Linked DNA regions of Oryctolagus cuniculus. The protein of the gene in region 3 interacts with the protein of the main gene of each other region in a pairwise test. Links are inferred from orthologs where the notes say so. Each region holds a gene or a part of one and is shown on either strand. Other genes may lie near its edges. The genes, in order: PAK1, ARF6, EGFR, SH3BGRL, CEND1, RAB3A and YWHAB.

Region 1 (3,500 bases), on a different chromosome or scaffold from region 3:
CTGATTGTTAGAAAATGCTTCAGTGTACCTTTTGTGGTTTCTTACCTTTTGATTTAAGCTTTACTCCCTGACCCTACATCCTTGTCTCAGACTTAGAATGGCTTTCCAGAGATGTGAAGATGATGATCATGGGGTATGATGGAAATAAGACTGGGGTTATCAATAGTGTCACCCTAAGCATGTTGTCTGCATGTGGGTACCAAGAGTGAATCCCAACTTGAGCCCAAGATGATTTTCCGTTTGTATTCCAGGCCTTGTACCTCATTGCCACCAATGGAACCCCAGAGCTTCAGAACCCAGAGAAGCTGTCGGCTATTTTCCGGGACTTTCTGAACCGCTGTCTCGAGATGGATGTGGAGAAGAGAGGTTCAGCAAAAGAGCTGCTACAGGTAAGTGTCTCTGCAGGGACGCACCAAATTCAAGGCGTCAGTAAATCTAGCCTTTTGTGCTTCATTTTTGTGTATAAAGAACTATGCTTTTGTCCTACCATTTACCACACTTGCTGTAATCCTAGCTCCCTATCCTTCATTCCGGGGCCTTTGCTCATGTTTCCATTAGCCTCTTGCTCAGCTCATTAAAACTCTACACATCCTCGTAGCTTCTTCAAACCTACTTTCTGAGCTCCTTGTTGAACTTTGCCTGTATCTTTCTTTGACATTTCCTTTGTTTTGCATGAATTAGTCTGACAGGATTTGCTTGAGCATTGGTGAGAAGCAGCTCTGACATGTAAATATTACACAAGTTATATTTTACAGAATAAGTGCTAATGAAATAATTCTCAACAAAGGAAACTGGGTTTAGATCCCAGTTAGTGACTGTGATTTCTGAAGTCTTTACTGTTTTTTTCTTTTTTCCACTGGAAACCTCTCAGATCATGGCAAAGATGTTCTACTTGTTTGGAGGGTTGTAGCGAAACCAAAAATTTACCAAGCCTTTTAAACACCAACCTGCCTAATCCTGAACTGCAGCATAATTATTTTGTATGATTTCAGAAACTGTCTTTAGAGGACCACATTTAATATTTAATTTGTATCTAAGTTTTGTGTTCCCAGTACAATTTCTTATTACTAAGATTGTTTTACTACATTGCTCCCTGGTGATTTTATTGCACATGTCACATACAACTTTATGGTAGTGATTGACCTGCAGGCATATACTCTCAGTTCCTTTTGTATTATGAGGCCCAGGAGTGACTGGGCAGGGCAGGGGAGTACTTCGTGTACTGCCTTGTGTTAAAGCCAGTTATGAATATCTCTACTTCTCCGCCTTTCCCAGTGGATTATAAATTCTTTTTTATTCAAACTCTCTTTCTTCTTGTACCTGGGACAAGACTCAGAATAGGTACTCAGGGAATATTTATTGGGTAGAATGGAGCTGCTTAAAGAATTTACCTACAGTAGCCTTTCATTCTCTGGAACATAATTAGTATCTCTTTGTAATTGAAGTTACTGATTATAGAGCACTGGCCTATTAGATAACAGAAATGGATTCTGCTAAGTGTATCCCATTAGTTTCTAGGATCCTTTGGGATTAAAAAAAAAAAACCCTTATTACAGACAGTATAATAAAGAATTAGTCTTTAAAAGTAGTTGTGTTCTGAAAACCCTAGGTTTTTAGAAATGTGCCAATAGTATGTTGTTATAGCTGTGAAGATAGGTGTAATTCAATATCAAATTCTCTTTTTTAGACATTTTTATTGAAAGTTTAGTTTAATTGAGATAATTTTATATCTTCATACAATTGTAAGAAACAATACAGAAAGCTTCCATATATTACTCAGTTCCTCCCACAGTGGCACAGTGTCACAAAGATACAGGCATGGATTGAGTACATTGATCTATTCATAGTTCTCCAGTTTTACATTGTAGTGATTTTTGTGGAAATACACTCCACTAAACAGATAGATAGATGGTAGAGTTGAACCAAACCTATGTCTATCTGGCCCAAATGTTGAGTTCTTAACTTTTGATCAAATTACTTTTATTGAGAGGTCAGTGTATGCTACAGTTTTCTTCCTGACATGCTAATATAACTACTAATAGATACATTGTATTGGATCTTCACCATATTTTAGGCACTAAGCATTTCATATATAATATTTTTAAAGATTCATTTTATTTATCTGAAAGGTAGTTACAGAGAGAGAGAGAGGGAGAGACAAAGAGAGGTCTTCCTCCCATTGTTTCACTCTTCAAATGGCCACGGCTGAGCCAGGTTGACACCAGGAGCCAGGAGTTTCTTCTAGGTCTCCCGATGGGGTGAGGAGACCCAAGCACTTGGGCCATCCTCCACTGCTTTCACAGGCCGTAGCAGAGAGCTGGATCAGCAGTGGAGCAGCTTGGACTCTTCCTGACACTGTATGGGATGCCAGCATTGTATGTGGTGGCTTTACTGGCTATGCCACAATGCCAGCCTCACCATATATAATTTTTTATCTATTCTGCACAGCAGTCCTGTGAGTTATATGTTCTATTATTCCCATTTTTTAGGTGTAGAAACAGAATTTTCAAGTATTTTGTAACTTCCCTTGATTATATTGCTGAAATGTAGTGGATACAGGATTTCAACCTATGTCTGGCCCTCAAGTGTGTGTGCTCTTGGCCACTATTATAAACTCAGAGACTGTCACAACTGGAAGGCTGTTAGGGCTTGTATTTTTCTTTATTCAGAGATGGAAACTGAGACCTCCTAGTTGGGAGCTATTCTTTCAACTCAGGGGAGTTAAAGAAACATGTGGTCTGAGAACACTGATTCTAGTGTATATTTTTTTTAACTTTTTTTTTTTTTTTGGACAAGCTGAGTTAGAGAGAGAGAGACAGAGAGAAAGGTCTTCCTTTTCCATTGGTTCACCCCCCAATAGCCGCTACAGCTGGCATGCTGCGCCGATCTGAAGCCAGGAGCCAGGTGCTTCCTCCTGGTCTCCTATTCGGGTGCAGGGCCCAAGCACTTGGGCCATCCTCCACTGCCTTCCTGGGCCACAGCAGAGAGCTGGACCGGAAGAGGAGCAACCGGGACAGAATCCGGCGCCCCGACCGGGACTAGAACCTGGGGTGCCGGCGCCGCAGGTGGAAGATTAGTCTAGTGAGCCGCGGCACCGGCCTGATTCTAGTGTTTATTGTAAAGATTCAGAACCATGACTCTTAAAATCTTTTTTTTAAAGATTTATTTATTCATTTGAAAGGCAGTACAACAGCTAGGGAGAGAGAGACAGATCTTCCGTCCATTGGTTGACTCCCCAAATTGGTACAACAGCACCACAACTGGACCACACTGAACCCAGGAACCAGGAATCCGATCCTGTTCTCATACAGAGGTGGCAGGGCCCCCATTACTTGGACCATCTTCTGTGGTCTTCCCAGACCATTAGTAGGAAGTTTAATTGGAAGCAGAACATTTGGAGCTAAAACCAGCACTCTGATATGGGATGCCAAAATTGCAAATGGCTGTTTAACGCTCTGTGGTACACCAGTCCATACTTAAAATCTTACATCATGAAGGTT
Region 2 (4,094 bases), on a different chromosome or scaffold from region 3:
AGTAACCCTTCGATACAAAGATTTCCTTGGTCTTCCACCAACATGGTATTATTTCATCCTCCAAGCGGGGCGGAGTAAGCGAGGTCAGTTTACACAGGAGATCAGCGAACGAGGTTAAGTGGCCTCTCAGGTTCTACACCCTACGCTAAGGTGACTGCAGCACGGGTGGGTGGGTGGGTGAGCAGCTGCCGCTCCCATACTAAAAGGAAGTGACACTGGACTAAGAACAGTTCATCGCGTTCCAGAAAGCTCTTCACCGCCAGCTTTTACAAGAAACGTGAGCTGGTCCTGATGCAACACGGACAGGGCTCCAGTGTTCGAGAGAGGGGCTTCCGAGCAAACCCGAGCCCAGCCACGGCGCGCCACTGACTGGCGGGTTCAACACGAGCGCGCCGGCCTCCCATGCGTCTTCCAGGAAAACCCTGAACACCAGAGGCAACGATACCAAGGAGGGGGTCGGAGAAAAAGCTAAAAAGCGGCCAAGGCGTCCCCGGGAGACCCGGGGCGCGCGAAGTCCGCCGAACTTTCCGGGCCTGCAAGCGGCTCCGTGGGGGCGGCTCGTCCGGCGGCCCCGCCCTTGCGGAGGCTCCATTTCCCCACCTCCCCGGAGTATTTGCTCCCCGGACTGCGGGGGCGGGCAGAGGCGCGGAACGAAGGGGCCGCCGAGCGCGCAGACGCGGCGAGAGCGACAGGTGGGCGCGGGCCAGAGCCCGAGGCGCGCGGGCTCGGGCGGGCGGCACCCGCGAGCCCTCCGGGACGCCGTAGCCCCGCCCCCTCCGGCGCGTGGCGCCCGTGACGCTGGGCGCGCGGGCCGCTCTCCTTCCAGAGGTCGCTCTTGTCCGAACGGTCGGCCTGCGCTGCGCCTGCGTGGTCGGGAGGGGAAGTGAGGCGGTTTCTTGGGCGCCTTTTCCGGCAGCGGCAGCGGCAGAGCTGGGAGGAGGTGGCGGCGGCCGGAGCGAGCCCGTGCTCGGGGCGGCGGCTGGAGGTAACCCCCACCACCACCACCCGGCACCGACACCCGGGGGCCGAGCTGTTAAGGCGGGCGGCCTCGGCCTCCGCGCCCGCTCCCGTTCGGAGCTCCGGCGGTAACTCCCTTCTCCTTCTCTGTGTCTCCGCAGGCAGCGCGCTGAGTTCCCGCGAGGATCCATGACCTGACGGGACGCCGGCGCCGCGCTGCCTGACGGGTGGCCTGGGTCGGTGGCGAGCCCGGTAGTCGGCGGGCCGTCGGGCGGGCGGAGGAACGGGCACGGCGGCGGCGCTCGCGCGGCGCCTGCGGGGGGGAAGGGCAGTTCCGGGCCGGGCCGCGCCTCAGCAGGGCGGCGGCTCTCCGGGCGCAGACTCAGGGCCCCGGCGGCGGCGGCGGCTGGAGGAACCAAGTTGTGCGGGTCGGTGATGCCCGAGTGAGCGGCAGGCCCGGGCCTCTCGCCCCGTAGGAGGCGACTCCCACGCAGGCCGCACGGGCGCCCTCGCGGCAGGGAGGCTTCGTTTCGGTTTCGCGGCGGCGGCGGCGGCGTTGTTGGCTTGAGGGGGAACCGGGACACCTGAATGCCCCCGGCCCCGGCTCTTCCGTCGCGATGGGGAAGGTGCTATCCAAAATCTTCGGGAACAAGGAAATGCGGATCCTCATGTTGGGCCTGGACGCGGCCGGCAAGACCACAATCCTGTACAAGTTGAAGCTGGGCCAGTCGGTGACCACCATCCCCACCGTGGGCTTCAACGTGGAGACGGTGACTTACAAAAACGTCAAGTTCAACGTGTGGGATGTGGGAGGCCAGGACAAGATCCGGCCGCTCTGGCGGCACTACTACACCGGGACCCAGGGTCTGATCTTCGTGGTGGACTGCGCCGACCGCGACCGCATCGACGAGGCCCGCCAGGAGCTGCACCGCATTATCAATGACCGGGAGATGAGGGACGCCATAATCCTCATCTTCGCCAACAAGCAGGACCTGCCCGATGCCATGAAACCCCATGAGATCCAGGAGAAACTGGGCCTGACCCGGATTCGGGACAGGAACTGGTATGTGCAGCCCTCCTGTGCCACCTCAGGGGACGGACTCTATGAGGGGCTCACATGGTTAACCTCTAACTACAAGTCCTAATGAGCATTCTCCACCCAGCCCCCGGAAGGAGAGAAATCAAAAACCCATTCATAGGATTATCGCCACCATCACCTCTTTCAATCGCCACTTTCTCTTCTTTTGAATTTGAACTCTGGAGTTACAGTTCTACGGTTTAGGGAGGGGGGGTTGGGGTTTTTCTTTTTTTTTTGCTTTTTTTTTTTTTCTTTTCTTTATTCCGCTTTGCGTTAGGATGCTCTGATTTGACGTTTGACATGAACACAAAGTGCTAGGTGCTCTTGTTGACTTCCAGCAAATGGGGTGGGGGAAATACAGCAGTTCTTGGTAAAGTCCTTTATAATAATGGTTTGATTTTTTTATTTCTAGAGAATCTTTTTCCCCCCCAAATGTATGCTTTTTTCCTTTTTTTTTTATCCAGTTTCCTTATCACTTGCTGTAGATGGCTTATTTTGCATTCATGCAGACTATGTTGCAAGTCTGTTTCATCTAGTAAACTGAAAATTATTGCTTAATCAAACTGCCGTTTGTCTTTTATATTTAAGGCTCCCCCCCTTATGAATTCTAACTTAGTAATTTCAAATGTGACCTAAGACCAGTATAAGTAAACTTAGCCCACAGTGGCAAATAATGAGTAATATCATTGTAATATGTTCCAGTTGCACATCAGTATGTTAAACAGGTAATGTAAGAACTTATTTGAAATGTCAGCTATTAACTCCTAAGACATACATCATGCATGAGTAGGAATAAAACCCAGGGTCGTCATAACATAGCAAACTTAACACTGCAAAAAATATGAAAGTATAACCCGCCAAGGACATGAGGTTTTTTTTCACTGCAAAGTTAGCAACTTTTCCTTTTTTTAACATCAAAAATAGACTCCTTCCAGAAAATGGAGCAATAATGGTGTGTGCCACACACAGATATCTGTAGATATTTTAAGCGACTTTTGGGCAAAACTGGAATACTTATACATTGTTTCAAGTGTCTTAAGAGCAGTAGTATTAAAGTTACTGAAACATTAGTTTGTTCATTAATAAAGCATTTAATGATTCAAGTTATATGCACCTTTTACCTAGATGGAAAAATACACATTCCTGTTTTCACATTACTGCAACTGACTAAGCTGAAGATATATCATTTTTTATAGATGAGTGATCCACATCTCCTTTAATTAGAACACTGGAAAAGATGTTTTATAAAAAAGATATTTAATTTTGTTTGATTGTGGGATTAACTCGTGCAAATAGTAAGACAACCTGTTGGTTCAATAGTACACTGTCTCCTTTAAGAAAGGCAATGTGATGAATGAATGTTGGATGTGTAGACTTAAGGGATGACAAAGGGGAAGTGGGCTGAAGAGAGAACCTACAGATGACAATGAATGTAAACTTATTTTTCTTCAAGGGTAAGCAGTGTGCTCACTGGTGATATCCAGATCCTAACAGAATTACTTGGGTAGCAAGTTAGGACCAGTAGCTAGATTGAGACCACTATGGTAGTATTTTGAACCAAATGTTAATGCTTGATACAGAGTTGTGAAGCACCATCTGGTTCTTATATAGCCTTAAGGATTAATTTTAGTGATCCTCAAGGAATTAAACTTAGGGAATTTCAGAAATGTAGACTGCAAAGGCAGTATACAGGAAAAAGTGGAGTGGGTTTCGTTTATGAGGGTGTCTGAAAACAAAACTGAGCGGGATATCATGGTATAGTTGGACAGTATTGGTCCTTCATGCTTTGGCCATATTGTATAATGGAGCTTTTACCAAAGATATCTGAGAATCATAAGGCTATTTTAAAAAAAAAAATCAACCATTCAAAGTAAAACTCTTGACAAAGCATTTTTCTTCAAGCAGATGAGAAAAGGTGCTATGTTGTAGGCTCCGGCTGGTACAAAGGGATTTTTGAGTTCAAGATGCAACTAAAGTATAAAGTAGTCAGTTTCACTTTAGTGAAAGTATCTCTAAAAATGAAGCTGATCAAACACATCCTAAGAACATTATGGTTGCT
Region 3 (4,039 bases):
CTGTGTGCAGGACTCTATCCCAGTGCTGGGCCCCGAGCCTGGCCAGAGTTTCCACGGACTTCTGCCACCGTTCCTGGAAGAGCTCTCCCCAGCACCACGGAGGAATGTGGTGGGGGCCCAGAAGGTCTCACACTTTGTCTTTTTTTGGGGTACTCAGGATAAATCGCTGCACTTTTAAAAGTCAGTCGAGGGTCACATGGACACCACGATTTGTGCCACCAATCATCCTGGCGGGCAGCGAGTGTGCCTAGGGTTCGTCCGTGGCTCCTGTAGCGGAACGCAGGATCACGGGTGCCCTTCTGTTTCCTGGCTCCTCTTCTAGCTTTTGTCTCTAGCTTTTGTATTTGCGTTTCTTTGCAGCCTGCTCTAAGTCTTCTGGTTTGGAATGTGGGCTGGGAACCAAACACACGGCTGGCTGTGGACTTCACAGCCTTGCTCACCCGGGGCAGCCGCGATTCCTCAGAACAAAGAACAAGCCAGCCGCTCACTCTGGTTCCCCGCAAACCCCACCTTTCCCGCGGCCGGGCGGGGCGCAAACCCGCAGAGCAGGGAAGCGCTGAAGAAGCCCTGGAGCCGAGGCGGGGTGCCCTCGGCCCAAGGGTTCAGAGAAAGTCCCCGCAGCTCCAGGAAGCTCCACTTCCTGTGGCCAAATCCTCAGTGACTCTTGCTGGCGTCTGCGGTGCTGTGCGCGACCGACATCCTCGGCCCTCGCTCCCGGAGCCAGTCCCTGGCACAGTGGAGGCCGTGGGCGCACCGGGACCTCACGCATTCACTCAAGGAACGCAAAGGAAAGCCGCTCTCCCAGCGGGGAGCCGAGCGCGCTCGTTCCCAACGACTTCGAGGGCGCTCAGGGGGCCCCTAGGGGCCCCAGCCGCCCGTCTGGGTCTGGCTCTGCTGGGGACTCTTGCCCCGGGGCCCCAGCGGCCCCTCTGCGTGGTCACCCACCTCGGCCCTCGGGCTCAGCCGGTTTGTCCGGAGCCTGCTCCAGGTGGCTCCGTCTACAGAAGGGGCCGGTGAGGGGACCAGGCCCGGCTGCGCCCCGCGCTGGGAACCGACCCGGCCTGGGGTCGCGGCGCGCGGAACGCCCCTCTCGGGAACTCGCTCCCGGCGCCAGGTCCCGCGGGGCCGCGGCGTCCACGCCTCCGCTCGCCGCTCTTCCTCCCGCTCGCATTCTCCTCCTCCTCCGCGCCTCCGACCCCTCCTCCTCCGCTGGGCCCTCCTCCCGCCGCCTCCCCACGCCCGCCGCCCGGCAGACGTCTGGGCAGCTCGGCGCAGCGCGGCAGCCGCTCCTCACCCGCCGCCCGGAGTCCCCGAGGCCAGGCGCGGGCGTCCCAGGCCGGACCCAGGCGGGACTCAGGCGCCCGCGTCTGCCCCGCGCACGGAGCCCGACGCCCTTCCGAACCGACCGCACAGTTGAGCGCGCAGCGGCAGCGATGCGACCCTCGGGGCCGGTCGGGCCCGCGCTCCTGGCGCTGCTGGCCGCGCTCCTGCAGGCGGGACAGGCGCTGGAGGAGAAGAGAGGTAAGGGCGCGACCCGCACCACACCGCGCCGCGGTCTTCCCGACTTCCGTGAGGACCCTCGGGCTGAAACCGCTCTGGACGTCTAGCTCCTGGGCTGCGCGAGTCGCACCAGGGGAGCTCCGGCGCCGAGCGCTGCCCAAGCTGCTCCATACCCGGCACGTGCGCCCCGCGCAGTCCGCGCACCCATGGGCGGTGCGTCCCACCCGCGGCCCTGGGAGTTTAGGTTGGATCCGGGAGCTGCGCGCACCTTCCGGGACTGGCGCTTCCCGAGCGCACCCTCCCCGCGCCGGCCCCACCCGGTCCCGGGCTGCAACCAGAGGCCCCGCGAGCCCTTCCCGCGTGAGGGGCTGCGGCCGGAGCGGGGGCTGGAGGACTCCTGTCGCCCACCACGCGAGGCTGCTGGGCCGGGACGGCGCGGGGAACTGGGGCTGGGGTCCTGTCCGGCACGCCCCTGGCGCGCAGTCCCCGCCCCGCGCCGAGCGGCCGGGTGCGGCCGGGCCAGGTGCTTGGCGGCGCGGCGAACCCGGCCCCCACCTGCGTGCTTGCTCCGCAGGACTGGCTGGGCGGCGGGTCTCGGCTCCGAGCCCGCCCTGCGCGTCCCCCACGGTTTTCTCAAAGTCCCAAGATTTTCTCCTTTTTGGCGTTTCCTTTTGCTTTCTGAAAAGTTTGATATTGGGCCAACCAAAATATTAAACTGTATCAAAACCAGGAAAGGATGCGGTCCGGGCCCCACGTGCGCGAAGGCCCCGCGGAGTGGGCCTCGCCGCGAGACGCCCGCCGCGGGAGGCCGCGTTGCACAATCCCCGGCTGGGCCGGCTTCCGAGAGAGTCAGGTCCCTGCTTGCCGTTGATGTCATCGGCCTCGGGTCTGGGCTCTGGCGCCGGGCGCGTCTGCGGGCCAGGGGTGCTGCGGCGGCCCCAAACTTCGCTGCAGGTGGGAATCACCTGGGACTGAAAAACGAAAATAGTAATAAACAACGAACTGGAAAAGAGGGGAGAGGGCGAGGGGAGGTTGAGGCGGGGGAGAGGAAGCGAGGACCACGTCCGGCTCCCGCTCACGGATACCCCGATTTAATTGGTGTGGGGTGAGAGCCGGCCTTGGGTTTTAACAGCTCGGGCAGGCTTGCGAGTCCTGGCGTGGAGGAAAGAAGGGCGAAGTGTCCAGAAGGCTCACCCGCTAGCCGTGGAGCTTCCCCCAATCTGCGCAGCTCTCGCAGAGCGCCGCGAAGGCAGGGCTTGGCCAAGGGGGCTCTGAGGCCCCCGGTGCGCGGCTCCGGTACACCGAGTGCTCAGTGCCTTCTCACCCCAGAAGTGCGCCCAGCTCCTAAGTGGGGCTGCCTCCCCGCTGCCGCCGTGGTGGGAGATTTGTTTCTTGTTTGCCCTGTGTTCGCCAGTGCTGTGGTGAGAAAGGGCGCGCACGCTCCGTTAACATGAGGCAGAGAGACTGGCGAGGATCTAATTACTAAAACTGCGAGGCATAATCTTCCTATAGAAGTTGTTAAGGACCCATGTCAATCACGTGCCAATTCCATTCCAGGAGAATTGGTGAGGGTTTTTTGGGTCTCAGCTAGGAAACCGGTATTGGCTGCCCTCAGATCTAACAACCAGACCTGGCTCCTGCGTCCTCACCTCCTTCCTCATTTTCCCGCCCTGCAGGAGAAGATCGATTTCCCCACCGCTCACAAGAGGCAGGGTCAGGGCTGAGACGCCACTGCCTTCTGCAGCCCAGGTGTGGGGAGCCAGGTCAGGTGTACGCGGCTGACTCACCTCACTTGCAGCACAGAGGAAAAGTACCAGGAACGGCTCATCAAGTTGGGCTCCCCTCCTGAGGCTGCAAACACACCCTGCTAACCAGTGGTCTGCTCTCCTCAGGGTTCCTCAGCCTGGTGGGGACAGCTCTGTCACCAAATCCCTGAGCCAAGCTTGCTAGGGGAGTTGAACAAGGCCTGGATCCTCGCTCCAGGGAAGGCACTGCTGAGGAGGAGGTCCTGGGGTGTTCCCAGGAGCTCAGGAATTCTCAGCCACAAGCTTCTTGTGGGGATGAGCCTGGCCACCCCTGGTTCAGTGGGCCTGGGCCGTGTTAAAGAGAAACCAAAGCAGAGGTGGTAGGGAATCCAAGACGAAGGATGGGATGCCCCGGCTGGCCTGGCAGCCGGCCTTGTCTTCTCACTCCAGCTGCGGGTGGAGGTGAACAGGTCACATCCAAGCGCCAAGCTTCTCGATCCCCTTTCTGAGTTCAGTATTTGTGAATTCAGTATTCACTGTGCGTGCCTGGTATCATGAGTTAAAAGGGAGGAGAGTTATGACAGCTACTGGAAATGGGATTCTGCAAGTCGCTAAATACTAGTAAATTTCCTTTTTACTCTTTCAGAGTCTTGTCTATCGCACAGACAGGCAGAAACCTGGTGATAGCTCCAGCCGGCTCTGAACAGTCATTTCTGGCTTCATGCATTTGGTTTCATAATCCATCGTTTTTCACAAACCTTTCTCTGGTGTTTGAAGAAGCCAGCTGCCAAAAT
Region 4 (4,103 bases), on a different chromosome or scaffold from region 3:
TAACCCAGGTAAACTTCCTACAAATGCCTGGCAAAGTGCAAGTATTTACTGAATGATAACTCTTAATATTATTAACTAAAGTGGATGAATTACAAGGATTTGTGCAAGAAATTAAAGTGAGATGATTTATCATATTTTAAATAAATTAAATAATAGTCTATGCTTGTCTTTCTTCTAAATCAAATTTGAAAATACACCACTGGAAATAATGGCTTCCAATACTACACTACTGTTAAATATATATTCACTGCTGTAATTTCAGCACTGAGAAATATGCTACACCTGGGATGAAACAATTGGCTGAGAAGTAGTGCTGATATAAAACAGACAAAATGTTTTCATGTAGTAAGAGTTACCTGAGATGAGCATTTTCTGGTGTTTAGAAGGTGAAGTTTTATTTGTCATATTTATTCATTGTTGGAAATCCCCCAAGCAGAACTGTTTGGCTTCATGCCAATTCTGTAACAGAGTCCCATTTTCACAAATGAATAAGCCAAAGGAGCAGAACTCAAAGACTAGAGTCCAAAACTCAGAGTTTACAAGTTACAGTAGTACCGCCTTCCCAACAGATTTAGAAGATTTATAGAACCATAAATATCCACCTTTCAGTCATGTTGGTCTAGAGCCACACAGACACTTTTCAGGAAAGTGAATCGAAGCCATGAAAGTTCAAGATGTAGCACAAGCCAGCACAAGAAAGGATAGACATGCACTATTTATAAATGTGTCCTTGGCTAAGGCATTTTATTTTAGAAAACTTAACTTGTAGAAGAAAATGATGCTATTAACTTGCTTACTTCCCCCACCTTCACCCCACATCACTCTCACATGCAGGTTACAGACAAGGACACATTCGATTAGGTAAGGCACCATCCTAGTTTAAGTAGCAATTTTATTTCCAGTACAGTCATATGAGAAACTTTTAATGTACTATTGACATAACTTCTATTCAATACATAAACACAGATGATGTGTAAATAACAGTGTTTAGAAGTAGGTTCTGAAGTCAGACAACCTGCGTTCTAATCCCAACTCTGTCATGTCTAGTTCTTTGGTCTGCAGCAGTGTACCTAATGTCTCCAGATCTTAGAGATACTCCTCCAATTACAGAGAACAGCTTTAGTACTAGCACTTAATTCACCGTATTATTGTAAAGGTTAAGTTAAATGAAACAATGGATATAAAGAACTCAGCACAGTGCTTGACAAATGCAACCCAAAAATAAATGTTAATCTTTACTATTACTAGAAGCAAATCTTGATTAGCCATGTTAATGAAATGGTAGTGCAACCACAAAATATAGCAGTACTTTAAACAGTCTTTGAATTTGTCATATTTTTAAGCTCATATTTGAAATTTTTTATGTTCTGGCAATTAACAATACTTCAAGCCAACACATCCAAAATGTGGGATTCTGGACTGGAAAACAATCTCCTTGCTTTAAATTCTCTGCTTGCCAAGTGTAAAATGTCAGCTTTGTCTCTCATATTAATAAAAACAGTCATCATACATGAGCTTCCTCTTCTCTCTAAATGTACTTTTGTTTAATTTTGGTCCTGGATTGCAAGAAGTGATTAAATTCTGGGTTTAAAAGGACTCCTGGTGGGCTGTAAAGTAGAATTGAAAGGAAACAGATGGTCTGATAGTCACAAACAGATTCTCTCTTAATTTGTTGAATTTTATAAGAAATAGAATACAAAATTCATCCTTTATAATTAAGCAAAAATATTCCTACAGATTTATAGTTGATTATACAATATGTATTTTAGAAAATATATTAGAAGTAGCCACAGTGATTTAGAACATTCAATCTGATTATTTCTAGCACCCTAAGTGATTTTCTCCCCAGGCCAACCCATGGGGAGGGTTGATCCTAAGGTTCGTTGATCAAAACCCTTCCTCAACAGGGTAACTAGTTTTCGCACAAGAGATGAATCCATTTCATCCTTCTCTCCTACTACATTATGAATATTTTACTAAGCTTTCAAACTAAAATTTTCCATATAATCATTTGACTTTTAAGTGTTTTTTAAGTGCTCAAGAATCACCATCATTTACACCTGTGCATCCCAAGGCTCTTCAAGTTGGGCTAAATTACTGCAGTGCCTTTATCATTGTTGTAAATTTAGGAAATCAACCATGAAATATTGGGCACCAAATTGAAGGCAATGATTTTCAATCTGCATTTGCTGCATGAAAGCCTCCATGTTTCAGTGTTTGGGGCATGCAAAAAACATGTCCAGTCATTTGGTGAATGATTTCTTACTTTGGTCTTCTAAGTAGTTTATGAATACCTTTAAAAAGCATTCAAACAAACTTTACCAGTTACGAAAAATACCAAAGTATATATCAAATCAACGCTCAATTTATAAACACAGAAAAACAGAAGCAAAACATTCTGTCATCTACGAAGCAATTACTTGAGAATCATATAATGAAGAACTATGGGGGACAGTGCTGTGGTGTAGCAGGTAAAGGTGCTGCCTGCAGTGCTGAAATCCCTTACGAGAGGTGATTCTAGTCCTGTCTGCTCCACTTAAGATTCAACTCCCCGCTAATGTGCCTGGGAAATCAGAAGAAGATGGCCCAAGTGCTTGGGCCCCTGCATTTACTTGGGAGATCTGGAAGAAGCTCCTGGCTCCTGGCTCCTGGCTCCTGGCTCCTGGCTCCTGGCTTCGGCTTGGCTTAGCCTCAACCATTGCACCTGGGAAGTGAACCAGCTTCTGGCTCCTGGCTTCAAATCAGCACAGCTCCGGCCATTGCAGCCATCTGGGGAGAGAACCATCGGATAGAAGACCTCTCTCTCTACCTCTACCTCTACCTCTACCTCTGCCTTTCAAATAAATAAATAAATTTTTTTTAAAAAAGTTACTACAATTTGTTAATTTATATAAGCACTGGACTTAGTATACTTTCCATTAAGTGTAAATTTATAAGCCATTACAAGACTGAAAAATGGAATATGGCATACATTACTGCATTGCAGTGGGTCAAAACATGTATCAGCCATTCTCAACATGAAGAAATCACTTCCTATAAAAAAAAAAAAAAACCCGACAACAACTTGGGAGCTCCATTCCCTCTAATTGATTCTCATGAAGAGGAAAAAAACTATTAAGGCCAAAAAATTTTTGATGTTGACCTATAAAAGACCAGTTGAGGCTTTCCCAATGCACATGTCTTCTCTGTCTTCCTGATCTTGGGTTAATAGATATTTACCCCACTTACTGCCATTCATCTTTAGGCATAATATCCTTCTCCACATCAGTTTCCCACTTCTCTATTCCCTTACATGCACATTCCCAGGCAACTCCTTGTCCATTTACCGGACTTATTTCTTGCCTATCTCTTACCTCATGTTCACATCTATCTCCTCCTGCTTTCTAGCTGTCATGTATCATCTTGGTGGTTAAGCACAGTTTTTTTTTTTTAATTCAAAGAGCTTGTGTTGGAGTTAAACTCTATGGCTTACAAGCTGTGTGACCTGGAAAGTTTTTTAACCTCTTTGAACCTCTAGTTTCTTCACTGTAAAACAGAGATAATCACAGTACCTAATTCATAGGACCATTTTAAAGAAAACTAAAGCTAGTACTTGACACAGTTAAGTGTTTCTACTGGCTAACATTAAGAAATCCACTGTGAGGCCAGCATTATGGTGTAGAAGGCCAAGCCCCTGCCTGCAATGCAGTTCGAGTCCCTGCTTCCTACTAATGCACCTGGGAAAGCAGGAGAAGATGACCCAAGTGCTTGGGTACCTGCCACCCACGTGGGAGACCAAGATGAAGTTCTGGGCTCCTGATATTGGTCTGGCCCAGATTCAGATGTTGTGGCCATCCGAGAAGTGAACAAGTGGAAATCAACCAATCTCTCTCTCTCTCTCTCTCTCTCTCCCCCTCTCTCCTTCTCTCTCTGTAACTGCCTTTCAAGTAAATAAATAAATAAATATTTTAAAAAAGAAAGAAATCTATTGCAAAGTTCAGCTTACTTGCTTTTCATCTCCAGATTTTTGAGAGGGAAGTGTTACTCCTCTATTGTGGGAAAGAGTTAAATAAGTTTGAAAAATTGTGGCTTTGTAAAAATTAGGCTATGAGGTATAAGGAGTC
Region 5 (3,934 bases), on a different chromosome or scaffold from region 3:
GGTGCCCAGGAGAGCCCACAGCACTTCTGGGGCTACATGGAGGCCTGGTCAGCTGGAGGCTGCTTGGGGTGGGCTTGGGGGCCTGCGTGCCTCCAGGGAGAGGTGCTGAGAGGCCGACAGCAGGGCCCCTCCTGGAATGAGGCCCCCGTCCCCGATCCCATGGCCCCACTGCTCAGTGTCCCTCTGGTGTGAGGGCTCCCGGGAAGGCTGAGGGTCTGCGAGTCAGCCCATCAGGCTCAGGGGCATTGGGGCGGCAGGGGGCCGGCCAGGGGACCTGGGGCTCCCCCACCTGTCCCTGGAAAGCCCAGCATGGGCATCTGTGCCTTCCTCATTCCCCCATGGAAGCCCCGCCCCTCCCAGTGCAGGTGAGACGCCCCCACCTGGGCCTCACGGCCCCCACCCCCTACCCCCTACCCGAGTGCAGGGTGAGACGCCAGCCCAGCCTTCGGATAACAGAGTTTATTTCAGACTCGGCCTCTCCTCGGGCCCGGGGTGCCCACGGCCACCACCCAGATGTGGGCACACCTCGCTCCCACAGAGCCAGCCCTCTGCCACAGGGCCGAGGGCCAGAGTCTCCCTGCAGGCAGGATGGGGCCGAGCACGGGTGTCGCTCGCCCGCCAAATGGTTCTACTCTACCGGTATTATTGCATTTATACGCTTGTTAGACAGGGGGCGCTGGAAGCAGATGGGAGGGGCCCTCGCGGAGCTGGGGGCGGGGTCCTCAGGGTCCTCCCCTCCCTGGGGCTCTCGGCTGCCCCCAGGACAGTCGCCACTCTGGGCAGGGGGTGAGGCAGTCCCAGCCCCAGGGGCTCCCGGGCACAAGCTGGGAGAGGTGCCCTGGGCAGAGCCCGGCCAGGGACTGGCGGAGGCCGCCTCCGGTCAGCCCCCCGTGTCCCGCCCAGCTGCACACAGAGAGCAGGAGTGGGGAGAATGAGACACCACGCCCTTTAATGCCCCATCCTTCTCCACGGCCCTAGGGCTGTGCAGCCGGGGGCGGGGCTGGGGAGTGCGTGTGCGTGTGTGTGCGTGTGTACACGGATGTGTGACGGTGAGGCCTTGCATGCACTGCCCTCCAGCTCTGTACAGAAAGTGGCTCCCGGCCCCGAGCTGGGCACCGGGCATCATTTTTTCCGGGCCCAAAAGACCACTCCAAGAACCAGGGCCACGGCTGCCACGGCCACACCCCCGGCCACCAGCAAGGGGGTCAAGTTCTCCAAGGGCCAGGGCCCTCGGCCCCCGGGGCCCCCGCAGGTGGATGCGTGCTCTTCGGCCCCATCCCCGGGACCCTTGGGCTCTGGGGCTGCGTCGGGACTGCCGGGCGCGGCGGGAGCGGCGGGGGCGGCGGGGGCCGGCTTCAGGTTGCTGTGGTTGTTGAGGAGGGCGGGGTCTGCCTTGGCTGGCGCGGGGGCAGGGGCTGCCGGCCGCTCCTGCCTCTCCGTCTGGGCCTCCTTCTTCACGGGCTTGGCGGAGGGAGCTTTTCCGTCGGTGGCTGGGGGGGCCTTGGCCTCAGTGGCAGCCTGGGGCACCTTCGTGTCGGGCTTGGGGCTGCTGGTTCCCTTCCCTCTGGACTCCATGGCAGGTGGGGCTGCTGGGCGTGTGGGACAGGCAGGCGGTCAGCGCGGCTGGTCCCTGAGCATGGTACGGGCCTGCAGGCAGACACCAGGGAGGGGGTGGGCAAGGCTCCGCTCCTGGGCGCCCCCACCCCTGCCTGGCTCATGGTCCCCCCAGGAGTCCCCTCTAGGGAGCTTCCTGTGGGTGTCAGACCCTCCTCTTGCTGGTCTGGCCTCCACCAGCTCCTGCCCTCTGGCTGGCCGCAGGTGGGCAGACAGGGCCCTCCTGCAGATCTGGGCTACGCCCCTGCCGCCGGCGCAGGGCAGGGAGGCACCGAGGGGGAAGAATCCGGCCTGCGCACTCAGCCCAGGTGGGGAAGGGCAGGGCGGGGCCGGCTGCAGGCGGCTGCTGGGGTTGGGAGTGGGACTGCAAGGACCTGGAGGTGGCACTGAGACTGCTCCCTGGAGGTCCCCTCTGCAGGCAGCTCAAGGACACTGAGTCCTTGCTGCCCCGGGGCAGTGCTTGCCTTGGGGACGCAGGTGTCCCCAGAACAAGCCTGCAGGCCAGGTGCAGGATGGGCTGGGCCTCGCCCAGATTCTCAGCGGCCCAGGTGAGGGCGGGGACAGCACCCCAGGCCCAGCCGCCTGCCTGGAGACCTGGGGCCGCCTGTCTCCCCTGGGGGAAGGCTGAGGGGTCCCCCAGCCGGGAAGGAAGAGGGAGCCAGTGACGAGGCTGCCGCTCAGGTTCCCCACCCCGGGCCTGATGCAGTGACCTCACTGAAGGTCATCTGAAGGTCACCGCGTGAGGAGGGTGTCCGGGGAGAGGACCAGCCACTGCCCCGCATCCCAGGGAGCGAGGGCCTCCCTTTCCCACCCCCAGCGCCCCCGGCAGGGGGGTGCCAGCCGCTGGGCATCACATGCGCAGCGGGCAGTGGTCTCCCCCTCCCTTATTTCTGAGCCCTCTCACCTCCCAGCCGCTTCTTCCCCCTCCCAGAGCCACGGTGCTCAGGAGAGCACCAGGCAGGCTTGCACCCCCAGGCACCACACTCGGCCCCCCCCGCCCACCCGCGAGCCCCCCGCCTTACGCCGTCCTGCGGGCCTCGCACCGCGGCGCTGCGTTCCCTCTGGACGGCGGGCGGCGGCTGCCCAGGCGATGCGATGCGATGCGATGCGGTGCGGTGCGGAGAGCCTGGGAGATGCCCACAATGCACCGCGCCCGGGCAGAAGACCAGCGAGGGGCGGGGCCGCAGGTTCAGCGCCCGCCCCTCGCGGCCACCGCGGCTCCGCCCCCGGCCGGGGCGAGGCTTAGCGCAGGCGGCCGCCCAGCATCCCGGCCCCTCCCCCAAACAGACTCCCAGAGAGGCATCTAGGTAGAATATTTATTTATCCTCTTACATGACAAGACACAAAAAATTACTTTTAAAACTCTTCAAAGGAAAAAAAAATATAATCTGTAAGCAGCAGCACAGCTTCCAAGGTACGGAGGTGACGGGGAAACCGAGAACTGAGCCCAGGTAGTGTCACGGGGTGGGGGAGGGCCTGGGGCGCCCAGTCTGGGAACACAGCACCAGCACGTCAGATCAATCACCAACACATTCACATGGCAGGGACGGGCGGGGAGAGGCCTCCACCCAGCGTCTGGGGGTCTGGGGGTGGCCAGGGGCCTCCGGCAGAGGTCCCAAGAGCAGTGGACCCTGGGGGAGGGCAGCCCGGCCGCTGGTCTTCCTGCTTGCTCTCCGGCCGACCAATCCCAGGGCAGGGACGGGGGTGTCTCAGGAGAGGTCTGCAGGAGATGCAGCAAGAGGGGCCGGGCGGGGCTTCTCTGGACAGCCTGACAGCACCCGGGCCCCACGGGGCCAGGCCAGCTGAGGGCTGGTGGGCGGGACCTGCTCCCCAATCACCCACCCCTCACAACGTGTGGGTCCCACAGGGTGGGTGTGGCTCCCCCCCAATGCTGGCCAGGCCGACGTGAGCTAGGCAGCAGGGCCGGCCGGCAGGCCAGACGGACGGACGGACGGACGGGAAGATGGCAGAGCCACGTGGGCGCAGCAGACTCAATAAATAGATTTGTATGGATCCCCTCCGTGGACCAGGAGGGCCTCAGAGATGAGAGGCGGTGGACTGGAGGGGGTGGGGTCCAGTCTGCCCAGCCCAGGCCTGGGAGCCCCCAGCCCAGAGACCAGCTCCGTCCCCGGGGGCCTTCAAGCCGGCACAGGACTGGGGCAGGGGCTGGCTTGAGGAATGTAAGAATCTCCGCATTTTCTACATAAATAAGACGTTGATCCCAAAGGTTGGGCAGGCGAAGCCCTGGGTGTGTGCCACCCACGTGGACCCTGCATCCCCTCCCAGCTCCCCCGCCCCGGGGGAGGGCTCAGGGCTGGGG
Region 6 (4,289 bases), about 7.8 Mb from region 3:
GCACTGGCCCCGGCGCAGGCGCTCACCGAGGTGGTCGGCCAGCTGCCGGCCGCGCTCCGAGGACACCACCCGCTCGTCCTCCATGTCACACTTGTTCCCCACCAGCAGCACCTGTGCGTTGTCCCACGAGTAGGTTTTAATCTGGGTGGACCTGCAGGAGGCGGTGACGGTGGAGTTAGGGCTGGGCGGTTCTGGCCTCACACTGGGCAGCCCCTCCTGGAAACCCGAGTCCTGTGCCTTCTGCCCAGTGCTTGTTCCAGAAGGTTCCCTGCCCTTTCAAGCAACCTCTTCGACCCTGAGTCATCTCCCGGGGCCGGCACTGGGGCGCAGCGGGTAAAGCCCCGGCCTGCGGTGCCTGCATCCCACAGGGGCGCCGATTCTAGTCCCGGCTGCTCCACTTCCCATCCAGCTCTCTGCTGTGGCCTGGGAGAGCAGTGGAAGATGGCCCAAGCCCTTGGGCCCCTGCACCCATGGGGGTGACCCGGATGGAGCTCCTGGCTTCAGCCTGGCCCAGCCCTGGCCATTGCAGACATTTGGGGAGTGAACCAACAGACGGAAGACCGACCTCCCTCTCTCCTTCCCTCCCTCTCCCTCTCCCTCCCTCTCTCTCTCTCTCTCCCTTTCCCTTCCTCTCTGCGTAAATCTTAAGCGAGGCGACCCCGCCCCGCGCGCTCACCAGTCCTGCACGGCGTTGAAGGACTCCTCGTTGGTGATGTCGTACATGAGGATGAAGCCCATGGCGCCGCGGTAGTAGGCGGTGGTGATGGTGCGGTACCGCTCCTGGCCCGCCGTGTCCTGGGGAAGGGGCATGCTCAGAGCGGGCTACTCCCAAAGCCCCGCCCTGGGGGACAGGCCACCCCCAAAGCCCTGCCCTGGGGGACGGACCACTCCCAAAGCCCCACCCTGGGGGATGGACCACCCCAAAGCCCCGCCCTGGGGGACGGACCACTCCCAAAGCCCTGCTCCAGGGCCTAGGGTGGGAGGCGACAAGGGCAGCTCAGGGGCGGTGGCAGGTGCGTGGCGCCCAAAGTGAACTCCACCGCAACTCCCCGCGCCCCCTATCCGAGTGCCTGGGGCCCAGTCCCGGCTCTAGAGCTCCATCCGGGTCCCCCACACGGGTGCAGGGGCCTAGGCACTCGGCCCATCATCCACAGCTCCCCCAGGCCATAGCAGGGAGCTGGATGGGCAGTGGAACGGCCGGGACTCGCACGGGCGCCCACACAGGATGCGGGCGCTGCAGGTGGGGGCTTTAGGAACGAGGCCACAGCGCTGGCCCCGGATGAACAGTTCTCGTTTGCGGTCACAGGTGGACACAGCGCACCTGCCCCACGGAACAAGGTCCAGCTGAAATCTACACAGCCCACATGGAAGCCCTTGTAGATGGGGAAACCGAGGCAGCACTGTGGAGCAGCAGTTACACCGCCGCGCGGGGCCCCACATCCCTGGGTTCCCGCCCAGCTCCCTGCGCATGCGCGCCCTGGGAGGCAGCAGGTGCTGGCCCAGGGGCAGGGGTCCCTGCTGCCCCGTGGGAGACCCGGATGGAGCCCCGCCCAAGCTCTGGCTGGCATTTGGGGGCCGAGCGCGTGGGGCTGGCACACAGTAGGCGCCTACTGCATGCTGCGCACCCAGATCTGCAGCTTGATCCTCTTGTCGTTGCGGTAGATGGTCTTGACCTTGAAGTCGATGCCCACGGTGCTGACGAAGGCGGGCGTGAAGGAGTCGTCGGCGTAGCGGAACAGGAAGGAGGTCTTGCCCACGCTGCTGTTGCCGATGATGAGAATCTTGAACATGTAGTCGAAGTTCTGGTCCGAGGGCTCCTTCTGCCCGTAGCGCGAGTCCGTGGCCGACGCCATCTGCGCGGGGGGGGGGGGGGTGAGAGCGGGAGCTGGCTGCAGCCGGGGCTGCCGGGGACCCAGACCTGGGCTGCGGGGGTAGGGAGCCCCGGGCTCGGGGAGGGGGCTGCGGCCTCGGCTGCCCCTGGCAGCAGGAGCCCTGAGCAGGGGGCGGGCCGTGACCTTGACCGGTGCAGACCGCAGGGGATCCCCGCTAGCAGCCCAGGTCCCGCTGTAACCCTAAACCTACGGCTGCAGCCTGAGTGGGGGTGACTACGGCCGCCCCCCCTCAATCTTGCCTGGTCCCCGGCACGCAGGCGCACGTGCACCTGCCAGCACCGCCCCACCCCCACCACGCGGGGACGCGCGTCTGCAACCCCAAACCTCGAGGCCAGGGCAAAGAAGGGACGTGCACGCGCTCACGCCGCGCAGACCCACAGGAACGTGGACCCTCGGGCGTGCACGCGGCTCTCTGCACACGCGTGCGGCCCGTATGCCGGCAAACCCAGGCTCCCGCGCCAGGGTAGGCGGGCGCGCACACGCAGGTGCACACCTCGCGCACGCGCACGCAAGAGCCTCCCGCGCGCAGCGTCCCGCAAGGCGCTCGCCGCCCCTCCCCCCTCGCCGCAGCGCCCGGGGGTGGGGGAGCGAGGCTCGGGCGGCGGCGGGGGACCCCCGGGCCCGCGGCCCCGCACCCTCCCCGCCCCCACGCGCCTTCCCCCGCCCCCTCCCCACCGCCACCCGCCTGTCAGTCACGTGAGGGTTCAGCGGCGCGGGGCGCCGAGGCTCGGGGCCGCCGGGGGCTCACCTCGCCCTGCACCGGCGCGGCGGATACCCCTAGGCGGAGCGCGGGGCGGCAGCTGCGGGACCGGGGCGCGGAGAGCGTGCGGGGCTGCCCGGCGGCGGCGGCGGCGGTGGCTGAGGCCCCTGCAGTCCTCCGTGACGTCCTGCAAAGAGCGGGGCGGGGCCTCGCATGCAGATACAGCCGTGACGCCACCAGAGGCGGGGTCGGGCCGGCGGCTGCGGCTCCCGGACGCAGGCAGAGCCGGGAGGGGCGGGGCTGCCGTGCAGATGGACGCGAGAAGTGGGCGTGGCCCGGCGCGCGCGTCCAATCGGGGAAGCAGGTCCCGCCTCTCACCTCCCTCAGGAAGGCGGGGCTGCTTGGCGTCAGCTCATTGGCTAAGAGGTGCAGTGACGGACCAGCAAGCCAATGAGCTTCGCAGACGCCGTCCCCCTGGCCAATGGAGGGATCCCAGGCGGTTGAAGGGGTCTCTGGGGGGGCGGTTCCCTTCCCGGCCGCGCCCACCCCAGGTCGGGGGGCGTCGGGGCTGCCCCTGCCGGGTCCGCGGTGCGGCGACTTCTCGTTAGGAGCCCCGTCTCCTGAATTTCAGGAAAGCGGAACCGGGGCCCGGGAGACCCTCGTGCCCCGCCCTTGCGTCTGGGGGTTCCTGAGAAGCTAAAAGAGGAAGGGGCTCGTCGGACAGCCCCTCGCGCGGTCCCCGACCTGAAGACCCCCGGGGAGGGGGGCCGCCGGCGAATCCCTCCCCCGGCGCGCCCCGTCTCGAGCAGGAAACAGAATGGGCGGGGCTCAGTGCCCGGGACCCCCAGACCCGCGGTGGAGATCCCCAGCCAGCGTGGGTCGGGGGCCAGGTGACCCCTCCCCGCTACCGAGAACCCAGGGCCGGGCGGAGGGCGGAGGGCGGGGGCGCCCTCGGCTCTGCTCTCGCTGCGGGGTCGGCGGCAGGGCCCCCGCTCCGTTCCGGGCCCGCTGGTGCCACCCTCTGACCCCCGCCCCGTCCCGGGTCCCCAGGACCCCCCGGCCCCTCCCTTGCCCAAAACTGGAGCGGAGATGGGCTGGGGCTGGGGGGCACTCGCCCTGTTCCCGACACAGCGCCGGCGCCCCCGCCCCGCGCCGCGGCCTGGAAAGTCCTGCCCCCCCCCGGCGCCCCCGCGTGCGCGCCGGGAAATTCACTTCTCTGAGTCACGTGTGAGTGCCCCCACGGGCTCTGAGCGTCACGACCCCGGCCCCTCCCCGTCTGGGGCCCTGGGCCCCGCCCCCACTGGGGGGCTCTGGGCGGGTGCGCGGGTCCCTGCGCGGGCGGGGGCTCTAGGCGGGGTGTGTGGGGCTCTGAGTCCCCCGGGGGAAGCAGTCACGAGACCACAGCACCCCGTGTGTGGATGTAAAAATAGAAGCGGTGGCTGGCAAGGCTGGCAGACGGGGAGGGGGGCCCCGAGTTTGTCTCCTGCCTGGCGGGGGTGGGGAGGCAGCAGGTGGGGGAGAGGCAGGTTCCCAGGTCCGAAGCCGCCCCCCCCCCCAGCGGCTCCGTGTCCCGCAGGACCTTTGCGCCTGCCGCGCCCGCTTGTGGGGGCGCTCTGCCCGTCGCTGGTGTCTCACCCTCGTCTCTGGGGACCCGAGGTGGTCGTGACCCCGAAATCACACGGTTCTCCCCGCACAGG
Region 7 (4,171 bases), on a different chromosome or scaffold from region 3:
TGTAAAGAGAAATTAAAGGCTAAATGGTGTTTAAATAAATGATCGGCATGTGTTGCTCTACAAGTAGACACCTACTCTTTGTTAGTGCCAGATCACCTGGCTCCAATTCCTTCCTGACTCTAGAACTTACCTTGAGCTGTACATGGAAGGGGTCTTGGGAAAATTATTCTTCTCTGTGCCTCAGTTTCCTCATCTGTAAAATGAGGCTAACAGTATTTACCTCTCACTAGTTGTTATTAAGACTAATATAAAATGCTTAGAACAAATTGTGGCACACAGCAAATACTGTAATTATTATTTATTATTATTACTGTTTGATGCTACTTCATCGGTGATAAATAAATCAAACAGGTGTAGTCTACATTCCTGTTTATGTCATACAATATACGCTACGCCTGATCTGCACATGTGCACATTCACGCATGTGGTTAATCACCTTCTGTATCCCAGATGCTCATTTTAATTACTGAGTTGTCACAATACATCAAAGGCTGCATCACCACTTGCACTGTACAGATGAGAAAATGACAGACTAGATTTTCTATGTGCAAAATAAAAATTGGTAACAACACCATTTTTTGAAAGCAGTATGTGCACAAAGCAGGGCTGGGTCTCAAATGTAACTGGAGAAAAGCAAATTGTCATAAAAAAAAAAGCAAAAGCTTTCATTTAACAATTTACAGTTTGTAAAAAAGCTTCATGACCACACTAGAGATTAACTAAAATGCTGCAAATCATACTAAAAAATATTACCGCCTACATCTGAAGTGCATTTACCTGGTTCCAATTTCAATACTCCTTTGGTTTCTGCACCTACAGCCAAATGGGCAAGATGCACATTTCGCAGTGGCTCAGATCTCCGGAGACGCTGCCTAGGAACTAGCACCATGGGAATCTGCTCAGCCTGGTTTCAGAAAGGCTGCCTCCCTGATCCAGGGAGATCCAATTCTAAAATGGCTTCACCATAACACAAGCACTGCATCATGGGAAATGTACACAAAATTACAGGGTAGGAGCCATACTCCAGGGGCTTACGGTCCATAAATATTTGCTACTGATGAATAAGGATATTCAGTGTGAAGCTAAGTGTGTGGGCTAGGCCAAATCACCTTTCTCATACAGACTTCATCTGTAAGATGGGTGACTGACTTATCTCATTGAAGGCAGATGGGAAAATAATCCAGCCATTGCTACTGGATTTGCAGCCACCCATTTTGAAGGCCAAGCTTAAAATTCCAACTTGGACCTGACAAAACTGACCAGTTTTTATACTCTCCATACTATGTGCTGTTAGAGACATGGGTCAGAAAAAATGAGGGCTCAGATATCTAAAATATCCCTGAGAAAGAAATGGCGTGCACTGGAAGCAATGAAGAAATTCACTACCGAGCAATATTTCTATACATACAAAATTCCAACAGGAAGATGCAGAAATCTCAGTGGCCACGTGTCCATTTCTACATCACTGTATATGGTGTGTGCCTCCATGTGGACCATTCAGACAAAGTAATCAGTGCAAGGAACCTTCAGCTTCCCAGCGCTCCATTTCTCCCTCGTGGCTCCTGTAGCCAGCCGATTTTCTATGTTCGCAACATCATCTTGCCAAATTCCAGCTCCCACACAGGGCAAGGAAAATCAGAGCCTGATGCCATCCAGCCTTTACCAAAGAGAACTGCAGCAAAGGCAAGGACAAGACGCCATGTATTTTTACAGAAAGGTTGGCAAACTGTCTTAGCCAATGCTGCCACCTTTGAAAACTCCATTACATGCGAGTTCTCCATTTGCAATAGGCAAAAATGGACTCAGCTTCTATAGAAAAGGAGTCGAGCGTTCTCATCCCTTCCCCCGGCTACCAGGGAAATTCGGGACTGAAAAACGTGCTCTCACACACAGTCAGGGGGAATCTGGGCCGAGGACACGAAACACTCGGGCGTTAAATGACGGCGCATGCCCTGGGAAAATATTCCCAACACCAGCTGGTGGCTTTTTTCCCCTGGAGATCCGGCCTGACTCAGACATCGGTCCCAACAAATGCATTTTCTTGCTTCAAACCTCCGACCTGATCTTCCCAGGGAATCTCGGGTCCTGCCGGGCTCCGTACCCAGCGGAGGATGATGAAATGGCTTTGCTGCAAAGTGGGTGGGGGTTTCCCCCCTGCTGTCTCCCAAGGTTAAACCCCTTACTCATCCAGGGGTAGCCAAGCAGGGGCACCGGGGCGCAAGAACTCGCCTGCGTTTGCTTAAATTTTAATTTTTGGAAGCCGGAAAGCCCCAGAGCCGCAGTGACAGGGCTGAAAAGGGTAGTTCTCGCCGACCGAGGCGCAGGGAGGGGTCGCGCCGGGGATAAAAGCCCAGCCAGGAGGGAGGGGCCGGGGCCAAGGCTCAGCCGTCCCCGACCCGCAGTACCGAGCCGCACCCTGCCCGCCTGGCAGGGCCGCCGGCGGCGCGGGAGGCCCGGGCTTCTGCAGGCGAAGGGCCCGGCCCCGGAAACAGGGAGGGGCCGCGGCGAGGTCGGGCCCGCGCCGCAGCCGGCAGCCAGGGCCGCGGCAGCCGCGCACCGCCACCCCCGGGGGCTCACCCGCAGGGCCGACATCGCAGCCGCGGGCTGAGGGGGACCTGGAGCGTGGGCCCCTGGGGGCCCCGGGCGGGCCCGCGCCGCACTCACCGTGGGAGGGCTGCAGGGGGCAAAGAGGCTTCCGAGCGAAGCTCCGAGAGCGGCGACCGCTTCCTTCCCAAGCCTGCTCCTCAGGCAGCGGCGACGGCGGCTGCAGGGGCGGCAGCGGCAGCAGCTAACCAGGCTCCGGAATCGGCGGCGGCGGTGGCTGCAGCTCCACTTCCGCTCCGGCCACCGCTTCCGCTTGGCTCAAGCCCCGCCCCTCCCTGCGCCGTCTTCTCATTGGGCAAGTGAGGCACGGGGTTGCCCTGGCCGCCCGAGAGGGGCGCTGACGGCAGGGAGGAGGAAGAAGAGCCCAGTGCAGGGCCGCAGCGGACCGGGGCGGGCGCAGGGCCGGGAGAGGTAGCAGGGAGGAGGCGGCCGAAGGGGAAGGAAGTGGGGCGGGGGGACGGGAAGAGGAGGCGGGAGGAGAGAGGGCGGAGATGGGGGTGGAGGTCCAGAGATGGGATGTGTGGGAACAGGGAGGACTCGGGTGGGGGAGCGCCCGCGCTGCTTAGGTTGGAGCCTGGGCAGGGCCAGGCACAGCGATTCCCAGGGTGCAGGTTCCCACGCCACCCCGGAAGTAGTCCTCCCGGGGGTCGGAGCCCCAGCGCACACACCCTTTGGCTGCGTGCTGTGCGAATAACTGGACCTCGGAAGACAGAAATTGCTCGTCCCCCCGTTTTCGGTTTATCCGCCTTTCTGTACTTAAGGGACTATCTCCTGCCCTCATAGCCTGAAGAGGCCACGTGAAGGTCTTCTGAAAAAAACCTGTGCACATGGTTTCTTCATTGAGGAAGCTGCAGGGAGGCGCACGGGGCCGCGTGGCCCCTCACCCTCTCTGGCCTCTCACCTGTTCATGCTGACAGATGCGGAGCGGGTTTTCCGCTTAGTGCTGGAGAGACAGCAATACACAGGAGAGAGGGGGCCCTGCTCCCCTGGGAGTCTGGCGGCAGAAGAAAAAAGTACCTGGGTCGCGTTGCTGTCATCTCTCCCTTACCCTTATTTAGTTAATGATAGAGATCTAATTCGCCACACCATGCCCAGCCCCGCCTCTATCAGCTGCCTACTGATCTAAAAATGCAGGTGTAGCAGTTACGGTGGGGGGCACCCAGATTCCAGCTTCTTGCTAAGTCCCACCCTGGGAGACGGCAGGTGATGGCTCCAGCAGTTGGATCCCTGCCATTCGCCTGGGAGACATGGTTTGAGTTCCTATTCCTGGCTTCTGCCTGGGCTGGTCTGGCCATTTGGGGAGTGAACCAGTAAATGCGAGTGCTCTTTCTCAAGTATATTTTTAAAAAATGTTTAATGCCATTCTAATCATGTTCTGTCCCTACTTAAATCCTTTGCTGATCACTCAGACCTTGAAAACTATCAATAGTAAGTTCCTTGAGTGTTACAATCAAGGTTTTCCAGAAGCTCCCCTTACCCATACATAACCCATCGTAAATACCCTAACCCCGTTGGATGACTCCTTACCCCCCAGCGGGACTATTTCTAAACAGTTTGAGTTGGCAGT

What was found.
Region 1: the proteins of EGFR (region 3) and PAK1 interact in a protein complementation assay, tested with the Homo sapiens proteins (3 studies listed by BioGRID and IntAct, with this or other methods). The link is inferred for Oryctolagus cuniculus from reciprocal best matches to the Homo sapiens genes EGFR and PAK1.
Region 2: the proteins of EGFR (region 3) and ARF6 interact in a protein complementation assay, tested with the Homo sapiens proteins (2 studies listed by BioGRID and IntAct). The link is inferred for Oryctolagus cuniculus from reciprocal best matches to the Homo sapiens genes EGFR and ARF6.
Region 4: the proteins of EGFR (region 3) and SH3BGRL interact in a protein complementation assay, tested with the Homo sapiens proteins (2 studies listed by IntAct). The link is inferred for Oryctolagus cuniculus from reciprocal best matches to the Homo sapiens genes EGFR and SH3BGRL.
Region 5: the proteins of EGFR (region 3) and CEND1 interact in a protein complementation assay, tested with the Homo sapiens proteins (2 studies listed by BioGRID and IntAct). The link is inferred for Oryctolagus cuniculus from reciprocal best matches to the Homo sapiens genes EGFR and CEND1.
Region 6: the proteins of EGFR (region 3) and RAB3A interact in a protein complementation assay, tested with the Homo sapiens proteins (2 studies listed by BioGRID and IntAct). The link is inferred for Oryctolagus cuniculus from reciprocal best matches to the Homo sapiens genes EGFR and RAB3A.
Region 7: the proteins of EGFR (region 3) and YWHAB interact in a protein complementation assay, tested with the Homo sapiens proteins (3 studies listed by BioGRID and IntAct, with this or other methods). The link is inferred for Oryctolagus cuniculus from reciprocal best matches to the Homo sapiens genes EGFR and YWHAB.

What each region holds. Positions count from the first base shown.
Region 1 is NC_091432.1:68,425,034-68,428,533, reverse strand, and holds part of PAK1 (serine/threonine-protein kinase PAK 1), read left to right. Parts: intron 1-251; coding exon 252-389; intron 390-3,500. UniProt on the Homo sapiens protein: Protein kinase involved in intracellular signaling pathways downstream of integrins and receptor-type kinases that plays an important role in cytoskeleton dynamics, in cell adhesion, migration, proliferation, apoptosis, mitosis, and in vesicle-mediated transport processes.
Region 2 is NC_091443.1:26,198,546-26,202,639, reverse strand, and holds the start of ARF6 (ADP-ribosylation factor 6), read left to right. Parts: upstream 1-1,294; 5' UTR 1,295-1,574; coding exon 1,575-2,102; 3' UTR 2,103-4,094. UniProt on the Homo sapiens protein: GTP-binding protein involved in protein trafficking that regulates endocytic recycling and cytoskeleton remodeling. GTP-bound form plays an important role in the transport of multiple palmitoylated proteins form the Golgi to the plasma membrane.
Region 3 is NC_091447.1:57,745,895-57,749,933, forward strand, and holds the start of EGFR (epidermal growth factor receptor), read left to right. Parts: upstream 1-1,239; 5' UTR 1,240-1,433; coding exon 1,434-1,521; intron 1,522-4,039. UniProt on the Homo sapiens protein: Receptor tyrosine kinase binding ligands of the EGF family and activating several signaling cascades to convert extracellular cues into appropriate cellular responses.
Region 4 is NC_091453.1:68,904,764-68,908,866, forward strand, and holds the start of SH3BGRL (adapter SH3BGRL), read right to left. Parts: upstream 2,801-4,103; 5' UTR 2,700-2,800; coding exon 2,613-2,699; intron 1-2,612. UniProt on the Homo sapiens protein: Appears to function as an adapter protein that bridges proteins together or proteins with mRNAs. May function as a ubiquitin ligase-substrate adapter.
Region 5 is NC_091432.1:319,781-323,714, forward strand, and holds CEND1 (cell cycle exit and neuronal differentiation protein 1), read right to left. Parts: upstream 2,801-3,934; 5' UTR 2,637-2,800; intron 1,648-2,636; 5' UTR 1,576-1,647; coding exon 1,123-1,575; 3' UTR 445-1,122; downstream 1-444. Other genes in the region: SLC25A22 (mitochondrial glutamate carrier 1), read right to left, coding at 3,923-3,934.
Region 6 is NC_091447.1:65,551,341-65,555,629, forward strand, and holds the start of RAB3A (ras-related protein Rab-3A), read right to left. Parts: upstream 2,801-4,289; 5' UTR 2,641-2,800; intron 1,854-2,640; coding exon 1,626-1,853; exon of another isoform or gene 1,349-1,625; coding exon of another isoform or gene 1,307-1,348; intron 796-1,306; coding exon 677-795; intron 152-676; coding exon 27-151; intron 1-26. Other genes in the region: MPV17L2 (mpv17-like protein 2), read left to right, coding at 1,307-1,348. UniProt on the Homo sapiens protein: The small GTPases Rab are key regulators of intracellular membrane trafficking, from the formation of transport vesicles to their fusion with membranes.
Region 7 is NC_091442.1:14,271,414-14,275,584, forward strand, and holds the start of YWHAB (14-3-3 protein beta/alpha), read right to left. Parts: upstream 2,801-4,171; 5' UTR 2,665-2,800; intron 1-2,664. UniProt on the Homo sapiens protein: Adapter protein implicated in the regulation of a large spectrum of both general and specialized signaling pathways. Binds to a large number of partners, usually by recognition of a phosphoserine or phosphothreonine motif.